Neodiprion lecontei: one gene and its partner. The protein of the gene in region 1 purifies or fractionates together with the protein of each later gene. This does not show direct contact. Links are inferred from orthologs where the notes say so. Each region holds a gene or a part of one and is shown in the gene's direction. Other genes may lie near its edges.

What was found.
Region 2: the proteins of intraflagellar transport protein 43 homolog (region 1) and intraflagellar transport protein 140 homolog purify together in Homo sapiens (affinity purification with mass spectrometry; 3 studies listed by BioGRID and IntAct, counting the BioPlex papers as one, with this or other methods). This does not show direct contact. The link is inferred for Neodiprion lecontei from reciprocal best matches to the Homo sapiens genes IFT43 and IFT140.

Annotation. Positions count from the first base shown.
Region 1 is NC_060262.1:41,936,853-41,941,070, reverse strand, and holds intraflagellar transport protein 43 homolog, read left to right. Parts: upstream 1-1,984; 5' UTR 1,985-2,067; coding exon 2,068-2,106; intron 2,107-2,269; coding exon 2,270-2,469; intron 2,470-2,651; coding exon 2,652-2,681; intron 2,682-2,733; coding exon 2,734-2,786; intron 2,787-2,920; coding exon 2,921-2,993; intron 2,994-3,202; coding exon 3,203-3,425; 3' UTR 3,426-3,520; downstream 3,521-4,218. Other genes in the region: uncharacterized protein LOC124293645, read left to right, coding at 563-911, 1,055-1,154. UniProt on the Homo sapiens protein: As a component of IFT complex A (IFT-A), a complex required for retrograde ciliary transport and entry into cilia of G protein-coupled receptors (GPCRs), it is involved in ciliogenesis.
Region 2 is NC_060261.1:8,581,915-8,587,113, forward strand, and holds the start of intraflagellar transport protein 140 homolog, read left to right. Parts: upstream 1-2,104; 5' UTR 2,105-2,232; coding exon 2,233-2,526; intron 2,527-2,591; coding exon 2,592-2,998; intron 2,999-3,061; coding exon 3,062-3,257; intron 3,258-3,359; coding exon 3,360-3,593; intron 3,594-3,680; coding exon 3,681-3,893; intron 3,894-3,974; coding exon 3,975-4,163; intron 4,164-5,199. Other genes in the region: hexosaminidase D, read left to right, coding at 1-22, 221-295, 420-615, 747-1,022, 1,092-1,178, 1,301-1,475. UniProt on the Homo sapiens protein: Component of the IFT complex A (IFT-A), a complex required for retrograde ciliary transport and entry into cilia of G protein-coupled receptors (GPCRs).

The DNA of each region.
Region 1 (4,218 bases):
CATTCGTCAGCGTTGGTTACATTCGCATACACCTAACGCATCAAGAAATCACCCCGTTGGGTGCCCATCTTTGGGGGTCGTTTTTATCCCCTTGAAGTGTTCTTTGGCCGATAAAAAAAATACGTTTCGCTTGGTTTTCTAGTCTACTGTAACATATTAAAAAATAAGTCATATTGAAGAAATCGACCTGCGATACCTTTCTTGTGCGCGATCGCATTGCTTCAAACTTTGAGAAACTGTAGGGTTTATAATCCCGCTTCTGTGGTCGCTATTTGTGTAAAGAGAGGTTTGGAAGTTTGATATAAAAAAACGCAAAAGATACGAAGTTCAATTTGTACAAACTAGCGTCAGTAAAATAACTTCAAAGCAAGCGAAAATCGTCTACAAGTATAATACTTACGCAATTTCCATTAATTTTTCGAATTCCCCTCAACGATTTTTCAAAGTGCGGAACGATTTCATTACTCGGGAAAGAGGAAAAGATACGAAGTACTATTTGCTTGCTCACTCTATACTCCGACATCCCCGTAAGTTGAAATCATGGAGAAGCGTTGTGTTTTAGGACCCCTCGTGTTGCCAGCCTGTCCCTGTCACTATCCCAGCAGTATTTTTTACGACGATAAGATTTGGGACCAGGGACAAGAGAGGTACTTCCGCTGGCGAGATGTCAGCGGTGAAGCGGAAAGACTCGACGTCTACAAGCCTGGAGCAACCTACTGCATCCGGTCCTTGTTGGTGCAAGGTGGAGGCAGCGCAGCCGCCCAGCACTGCTGCTACGATGGGAAAAGGAGACTTTTGACCAGAGGTTCCGGTGCTGGAACTCCAAACCTCGTCAGCCCCGAAGTATCCGGTGTTTTGCACGAGAGAATCGATATCCTTCCTTGGAGGCTTTGCAAGGGAGATTTCTCTAGGTTCGAAGATATTTTTCTGTAACCTCCCTAAACTGGAGGGGTAATACGCTACGATTGAAAATCGAAGTCCTGTTTCTCATTATCTGGAAATATGAAGTATTTTTTAAATATTTAAACTCACGTGTGTATGTTTAATCTTTCAGATTCAACAAAGTGCGACCACCAAACAATGACAACCAATGCAAGGGTAACCCGGATGAAGAAGAATATCAACGACAAATCAATGAAACGAAACATTACTGAAGTACAATACGAACCAAACATCTGCATATACAATAATGTAGCTTTAACTCGAAACAATTAAAAATACTAGTGATATATTAAACTATTACATGTTTTAATGTATCTGGCACATCCAGTGTTAAAAACCTTCAACAGTGTAATAATTTTTAAGTGTATTTTTGTGTAGTTTTATGCAAGTTCGTGTAGAGGTTAAAAAAAATGTATACATCCTTGTGCACTTTTCCTTTTTCACCAGTCGGTGAAAATGTAACGCAGGTGAGTGTGCACAAAGGATGATATTTAAAATAGAAAATCTTACACCACATCGTATATGGTATTTGTTAACATAATTAGGCTTTCCAGTATTTAAAAAAAAATGGAAACCTGTTTCCACCGTTGGACACGTTGTGTGATTTGCAGAATGAAGGGAATTTTAATAACATTGAAAATTCCGATATCACTTCACTGATCGCATTGGAAACTTTTCCGTCTTTAAAGTTTCACCAAAATCTTATGGAGTAGGTACTTTTAACATCATTGCGTCAACAAACTTTGATTACCTTAAACATCTACGCCGAAATCTCTCGGAGCCCCTTGATCCGCGCCTAGTTTACCTCGTAAATGAATGCGGCCCTGACTCTAACAATGAGATACAATCAGAGGTGTACCTACCTACCTACCTTCCTCGGTTCTTATTCGAATGGGAAACCGGTTCGAGTGAAGGAAGTCACGTGACAGCCCGAAGCACTCCGCGTCTATACCAAAGCAACACCGAAGCACCAGCGACGGCGCAGGGACGCTCGGAGAACCAGTGAAAGAGAGTTGCCATGGATACCGCTTACAAACAGAAGGTAAGTCTATTCCGTTTCGATAAAATTTCACCTAGGAGCCATCAGTGTTTACCGTGAATCCCGTGAATTATACTCAGAGTACCATGGACTGGGGAATGGAGCTAGAAGTTACCTCGAAAAAGGTATAGAGCCGCGGAGAACGCGACATGTAATCAATGGCTCGTTGTCGACGAGCGAGCGGTCGCAGGATTCTAATCTACGTTGTTTCATTATTCGCGGTTGAATAATCCGGCCGTCATTCTTCGCTGAATGTCCCTGTAAATAATCAAATCTCCGTATCCTCAGCTGCTACCTCGCCTAGGCCGGAGAGCTGGACAATCTAGTAACCTGCAGGAGGAGCTCAAGTCGGACGAGGAATTACTCGACAGCCCGATATCACCGTCTTCCGAGCAATCGGCGAGGACGATAGCCGGAGGCCATCAACCCGTGGCACCGCCGCGTTCGCGGAAGACAGGCTGGGCCGACGAATTTAAAAGTGGCGGGAAGTACGTTGACGGAAACTGAAAGCTTCCGCTTTCGCTGATCGTTTTAAAAATGGAAATTGCCGAAAGCAGTTTGAATGTCATTCGTAAGACTAGAGTTCGGGGGAAGATCGGATCAGTGCGTAAGATTATAGCCGTCGATTGTTCTGATCAGACTGTTGATCGGAACGTTTTTTTATTTACAGGATGAAGAGCACCATCAATATAATAGAACAGTGAGTAAATCGTAGTAGAAGTAACGAATCAGGCATCTCTAGTCACTAATAGATTATTCCTTAGGGAGCGTTTTCGCGGGGTGGACAAAGATGAACCAGAAGATGGTAAATTAATTTTTGTTTACCCTTCTTGCTCATCTGTTACATAAAATAAGGATCTTTATTTCATCAATTTGTCACATTTGTATCGTATTATTTCCTACAATTATACGTAATACTATAGCGCAAATTACTTGCAGAAATACCGGTCATACCGGACTTGGACGAGATTCAGGAGGATAACTTCTTGAGCGAAATTGCAAACACACATTTGTAAGTCATTGATAATATTTTTTCTACGATACGCGTGTCGGAATAAGTTATTTTAATTATATCTGTGTTGTAACTGGTCTATTCTTCGTTTGCCTTTAAAGTTTTAGTTTTAGAGAATTACAAACTAAGCAATTTACAGTTATCATTGAAATTCGTAAAAAAATAATATCTTACGGAGGTAAATATTTTAATATATCTTTGCGTTGCAGAGGTGGTGTGAACCGAGTGGAAACGTACAAAGAGCTCGACACGGATCTGTATAAAAGTACAGCTCTATCGTCGCTCGACGACGTGAACCTGTCATTACTAACGGAAAAATTATATCCAGATAAATTAGTACGTGAACCAGACGAAGTGTGGAACTGGGATTTATCGTTTACACAGATCGCGTCTGAAATAAATAGCGAGAAGCAAAACGAGGTTAAATCCTAACTAAAAACTGTTCGAATAATATAATTATCATTTATGACTTATGTAATAGTACAATTAGACATTTCCATCAATAAAGTTATTTTTATACGTATGTACGTTTTCACCACATCCCTTCATTGAACATGATGTTGTCCGTAATTGTTTGGAAAAATTGAATAAAAAACATGGCAAACTGCGTCCGCAGTGCCTGTATATGGAAGCGACAAATTACCTCGTCTGACCTATTCGATTGCCCCCCAATTTGGAAATCGCGGTAGTTCGAGGAGCCACGTGAGGACTCAACCGTGCCGGCGCACAGGGCAAATGTACGCGCAATCGGGAGTCGTACACAAGCTACTTGAAGCGACCACGTGACAACACCCACTGAGCAGATCTGCCTTTGTCTAACGTTAGCGATCAATGTTCAGCTGTGCCATCACTAGCACACACTTCCGTTGGACAATTTCGCGTTGCTCTGTTTTATAGTAATCGTCAAATGCATCTACCACTTGCGAGAAATTCAAGAATCGTCTGGAAGAACTCTGGCAATGTTACGAAAAGATGTCATCCTTGAAGTTTTGCGGGGAATTCAACAAAAGCCATAAGATTATAAAGACATTGAAATCATGCGGCTCTAATAGCAACCTATTGATAAATTTTCGATGAAAAATACAGAGCCGAGTTGCTGCGTTTAACGCGCAGCCATCTATGGACTGAAATTGAAATCACTTACACGCTAAAGCTTGATTTCTCATTTTTAGTGCTTGCCAATGATTCGTGGCGCCTCTAAGCGGGAATGCCGGAAATGATATTC
Region 2 (5,199 bases), on another chromosome or scaffold:
ATAGACGTACAGGTCTTAAATGGTGCGTACGTATCTAAGATATAAATACTACTTTATTTACCTAGTTTGTTAGTATTCAACGTCATGAGAAAAATTTTAAGCCAATTATCATCAATACAGAACCTTCTATTACAGAATCATTAGCATGCTTTGAGTTTATCTTGTGTTTAGCATAGACAATGTGTAATATCCTCTACTTAATATACTTTTATCATTTCAGAACATTATATTGGAAAATATGTTGAACCAATGATATGGCATTATAATTCCAGAGAGACTTTTTGTTTGCCAGTAGGTTAGTACTTTTCGAATGATGTATGTAGAGCCGATAGCAAATTTCCTGAATGTTTTGAATCTATTTATTGTGAGTTAAATAACATTGTAAGCATTACACAGACACTTATGTAATCAACTTTCAGGTTTATGGGACAAATATAGTGTTATATTTTCAAATATCTGGGCTGCAACAGCTTTTAAAGGTGCTACCGGATCCTGTCAACACATACCCGTGATTCAACATCATATAAGTAACCACGAACGATGGTTAGAAGAGTTGAGTACTCATGTCAACAAAGTTTGTGAATTCCGTGGAACTGCATTCACCGGATGGTCGAGGCATGTGCCGTTTTGCTTATTTTATTATCACCTATATATATGAATAATATCAGTCGATTGTTTTTCTTTACTTGTTCACCACCAAGACTATAGTTAAAATTATGCTGAACAGTCTGTGTAATGTATTTCAGATATGATCACTATGCCACAATGTGCGAGCTCCTGCCAACAGCAATACCATCTCTGGTGATGTGCTTAAAAGTCTGGCTGCACGGATATTCCGAAGAAAGACACCTAGAAGTAGCTAAAAGCTTGGGCTATGTAGACCATCCACTCCACATAGTGCCGCAACAGCGACCAGCTCCCATACCAAACAAATTGTTATTCCCTGGATGGCAGCTTGCAGTAGGAATCGAATGGTTCCTTAACTTCAGAACCAAGTTTCACCATGTCGTTGATAGCGATCAGTAAGGGCAGAATATTTGTACTTGTACATTATCAAGGTCTGTTCTAAAAATATGCCAATTCCTCAACAGAATAGCAACATGGATGAATCCTTGGCAAATTGCAAACAACTATACAAATCCTATGCAATTGGGGAGTTTGGTGACGGCTTTGAGCGAGTCAGTATTGTTTGCCTAAGTATTTTAGTGCACATTTTCCAACTGGTGTTAAGTTCAATCGAAAGCACTCAATGTATTTTGGATGTGACGTATTAGTTCTCTATGTTTTCATAAAATTTCAGTTTGTTGTTGGAATTATCATCGCTGGAGGGCTATATCCGAGTTCAAATGGAAGTTATTTTGTTTCAACCGACCCTGGAAGAATGGACTGGTACACATATTTATCCCCTGAAGAATAGATTGAAACAACTAAAACAAGATGCAGAGAATCAGTTGAAACACGGCTGCAGGGTGTGAAGATTAATTGTACCTCTTGACGAATTTTATTGGAATTGGGCAACACAATCACTTGAGGTGCTTCAAAGTAAAAAGACAACCAAATATCAAATTCATTCAATGAATTTTAGCGGCTAATAAGTTGTACAGAATTAATTAAAACTGGCCGAATCAATGCTTGAACGTGATATATTATAAGTATTAAACGTGCCATGTAATTATGAGAGGGGTAATAAACTGGATTTGTAATTAAGAAATATGCCACCGAGTTTGCTGAACATAATCATAAACAAACGATAGCACAGTATTTCGATATGCAAGGGTGTCAAAATTATATCGTCAATCTTAGACCTGCATATTTTTCTGGAATAAAAGTAGGCAGACTTTCGAACTTCTAAAATCTTTTTATATCCTTTGATGTGTCTGTCAAATTTTAGATCAATCTTTCGAAAATGCCCACAAACTTGTAGCAAATACTCGGTGAACTAACTCAATTCTAGTCTGTTAATTTCATATCGTAATGGTTATACGAAAAACAATGACAATATCGAATGTATGTACATACATACATACATTCATGTATACATTCATATACTCATACATTAATTTATTAGCTGTCAAGAAAACACACAATAAAATATGAAAATGTATAAATTGGAGAAATTAAATGAATTCAGAAAGTTTAAGCTTAATTCAAGCATTTGATAAAATAATGTAATTAAAAGTGCCTATCATTTGGAGTACATTTATATGTTTTATGGAGTATTAGGTATTAGAAATGTCCAGACCAAGGGAACGCGATGAACAGGAGGCACTCAAGCTGGATGAGCAGTTCAAGGATTCTTTGGCTCGAGTTAGACCTTACATTTTAGCCCTCACAGCGCCTGAAGATGTGCAGCTCTGCCGGCTTTGGTTGGATAAACTGAGCTATGCCTCCACGCAACGTGCACTCAGGAATGAGTATCTGATGGAACTATGCTGTCAAGTGGAATCTGGACATGTAGGTGGGATGTTTAGCCAACCGCCGCCAAATGGACCTCTGCCAGTGTTAAGGAGATCGTATACTCCAATGGTACAGTATCTGAAGTGAAGTGGTTTAAAACAGAGTGTGACAAAGAATATTTGAACGAAATTTAGGTACACGGAAGTTCCTCGTGGAGCGAGTTATCAGATGCGAGCACAATCCCATATTGCGGATGGCCAAAGAATTATGCAAAGAGCATTCAATGCCAGTTCACCAGGAGTAAAATACCAAACCAAAAACGTGACACTGATTCGACCAGTACTGGTCGTTGCGGTCACATCACAAAGAATATCAGTGCATCTCGATGCTACGAGGGAAGTAAAGCGGACAAAAATCAAATCGCAATTTACGAACAAAGGATAGAGACCTTGACCACTATTGTGAAAGAACTGCAGATACAAAATGAACGTTTAAATCAAGAACTAAATCGTTTGCAACAAAATTCTACTGCAAAGGAAGTGCCTCACCTTCACGCTACTATCAAACAATTATCGGCAGAAATTGGAACGTTGAAAGCCAAGTGGGTAACAAAATCCGGTAATAAGCTATGTCTAATATGAATCATCAATTTTCTCATCTCTAGACTAATGGAAGTAAAAAAAATGAAGGATTCTCTTGAGGCAAGCAATGAGGAAGCCCTCCTGCAATGTAAGCAAAGTATGGATGAAAAAATTACAGAGTTGAATATGCAACTGCAAGAATTCCAATGTAAGAATAGTACCTTGGAAAATAATATTGTTGAGCTGACTGCCAATTTGGAAAAAATTACTAGGGCAAAGGTACGACTGCGTATTACTCTTTGTTGGCAAGTAGTGACAAGCTAACAGAATTTCTAGTTCTATTTCAAAATCTACAATGTATACATGATGTTTGAATCAAAGGATGAAGAACTGTGTGCAGTAGAAAGTAGTTGCTCTGAAAAATTGGAAGCTGCACGACAGCAGCACGAACACTTAATCAAACAGAAGGATGAGGAACTGCAAAAGAAAGATACAGTGATCAGTCGGAAAGAGGAAGAATTGGCATTGATTGAGTTAAATAAAAATGCTGAAATTGAAAAACTGAAAACGGAGATTGATGGGCTACAGAAGAACTTGGAGGCAAAAAAAGATGAAGTATGTTCGCAGTTCATGAATTTTTTATCTGAATCATACGTTTCTTATGTTTCAATAACGCCGCACAATGACCGTATTTTTTCACAGGAAGCTAAATTGAAAGCTATTGTTACTGAGCAGTGCTCAACAATCCAGCGCGAATTTAATAAAATGAGGGCAAATATGGAAGCGGCGAATCAAAAGCAGAATCAAAACCTTATCAATAAAGTGGCCAGTTTAAAAAAAGGCATTTTAAAATTGGAAAAAACTAAAGAACGAATGAGCCATGAATATGAGAAGCGCATTTATCATATTTTAAAGGTGCATATTATTTCCGAAATACATTTTACCCTCTTTTGAGATATTTTTTACAAGTTGCCTACACAATTATTTGCATATCAGGATAAAGAAAACGAAGTTAAAGCCTTGCAGCTACAACTCCAGGGTCAGCGTAGTGAATTATCGATGTCACTGAGTTCGGAAAAACAGTGCGAGCTAGACAGTCTAGTTGAAAGCTTGGAAGAACGTTACAGATCACTGTTGGCTGCCGCAGATGCGAGTGCTGGCAACCAAAGGCAAAATTATCTCAAGGTAAAATGTAATAGTGATTTTCACGCTTGTATAAAATAATATATTCTCCTGTTTGCTTACGAAAATTTATGATTCCTTTCAGAAAATGAGGGTGCTAGAATCAGAGCCCGCGTGTTTTACCTAAGTACTTTAAATGTCGTCGGTTGATATTGTAATTCATTTTTGAAGGTAAATTTGTTTGTATCGTGAAATTCTTATCAACATTTTATAATAAACGAAATGCTATATTTTAACTGAAATTGAAATTCGACACCGAGTAAATGAATATAAAGATATTTCAAAAGGTTGGAAAAAATTAAACTTCAACATACATAAATAAGAATTTACTATTTGCAATTTTTGTTAAAATACATATAACTAAATAAGTTGAATGTTCTTTATTTTGGGAAATGTATGATGCATTCTAAATGAATCGCTTGTTGACAGTTAGGTGACCCAAATGACCCAAATTTTCTTCCTTGCAGTGAAAATCCGCCATGCGCGTTTTCGATCAAATAGGAAACTAGTAGAATTCTAGAAAAATCAAGTAAAAAAGAACCGAGGGAACTCTTGGTTTAAGAAAAAAAAAACTGCTAAATAAATCTGTCGATCTGTTGAATAATTAACGAATTTTAATCCCGTATACGTGCTCAATTGTAACAAAACTTGACTAACTATTTCTACGTCAAGTGTTTGTTTACACGAAATGTCAAACGATCGATACACAATTGATTTTGCTATGAATTCGTTATCGAGAAACAACCAAAGCGAGCTTAGAACGTTTGAAAAACCGTAAATTTTGTCATTGATATCAGAGCTTCTAGACCGAATCAGTCGATATTAGGCGCCGGTTGTGATCTAACCTATCGTAGTTTCACGAAAATGCTTACATTTAGTGTTACATCTGATACTGAAATAATTTCAGACCCTCGTTTGCCTTGAGCCGATTTGGGTAATTCAAACGCCACGATTAAATTGGAGAGCATTTCATAATGTCGCTGTATTTTGATACTCGAGTACAAAATCCTGAGACTGCTTCTATTAGTACATACGCTGC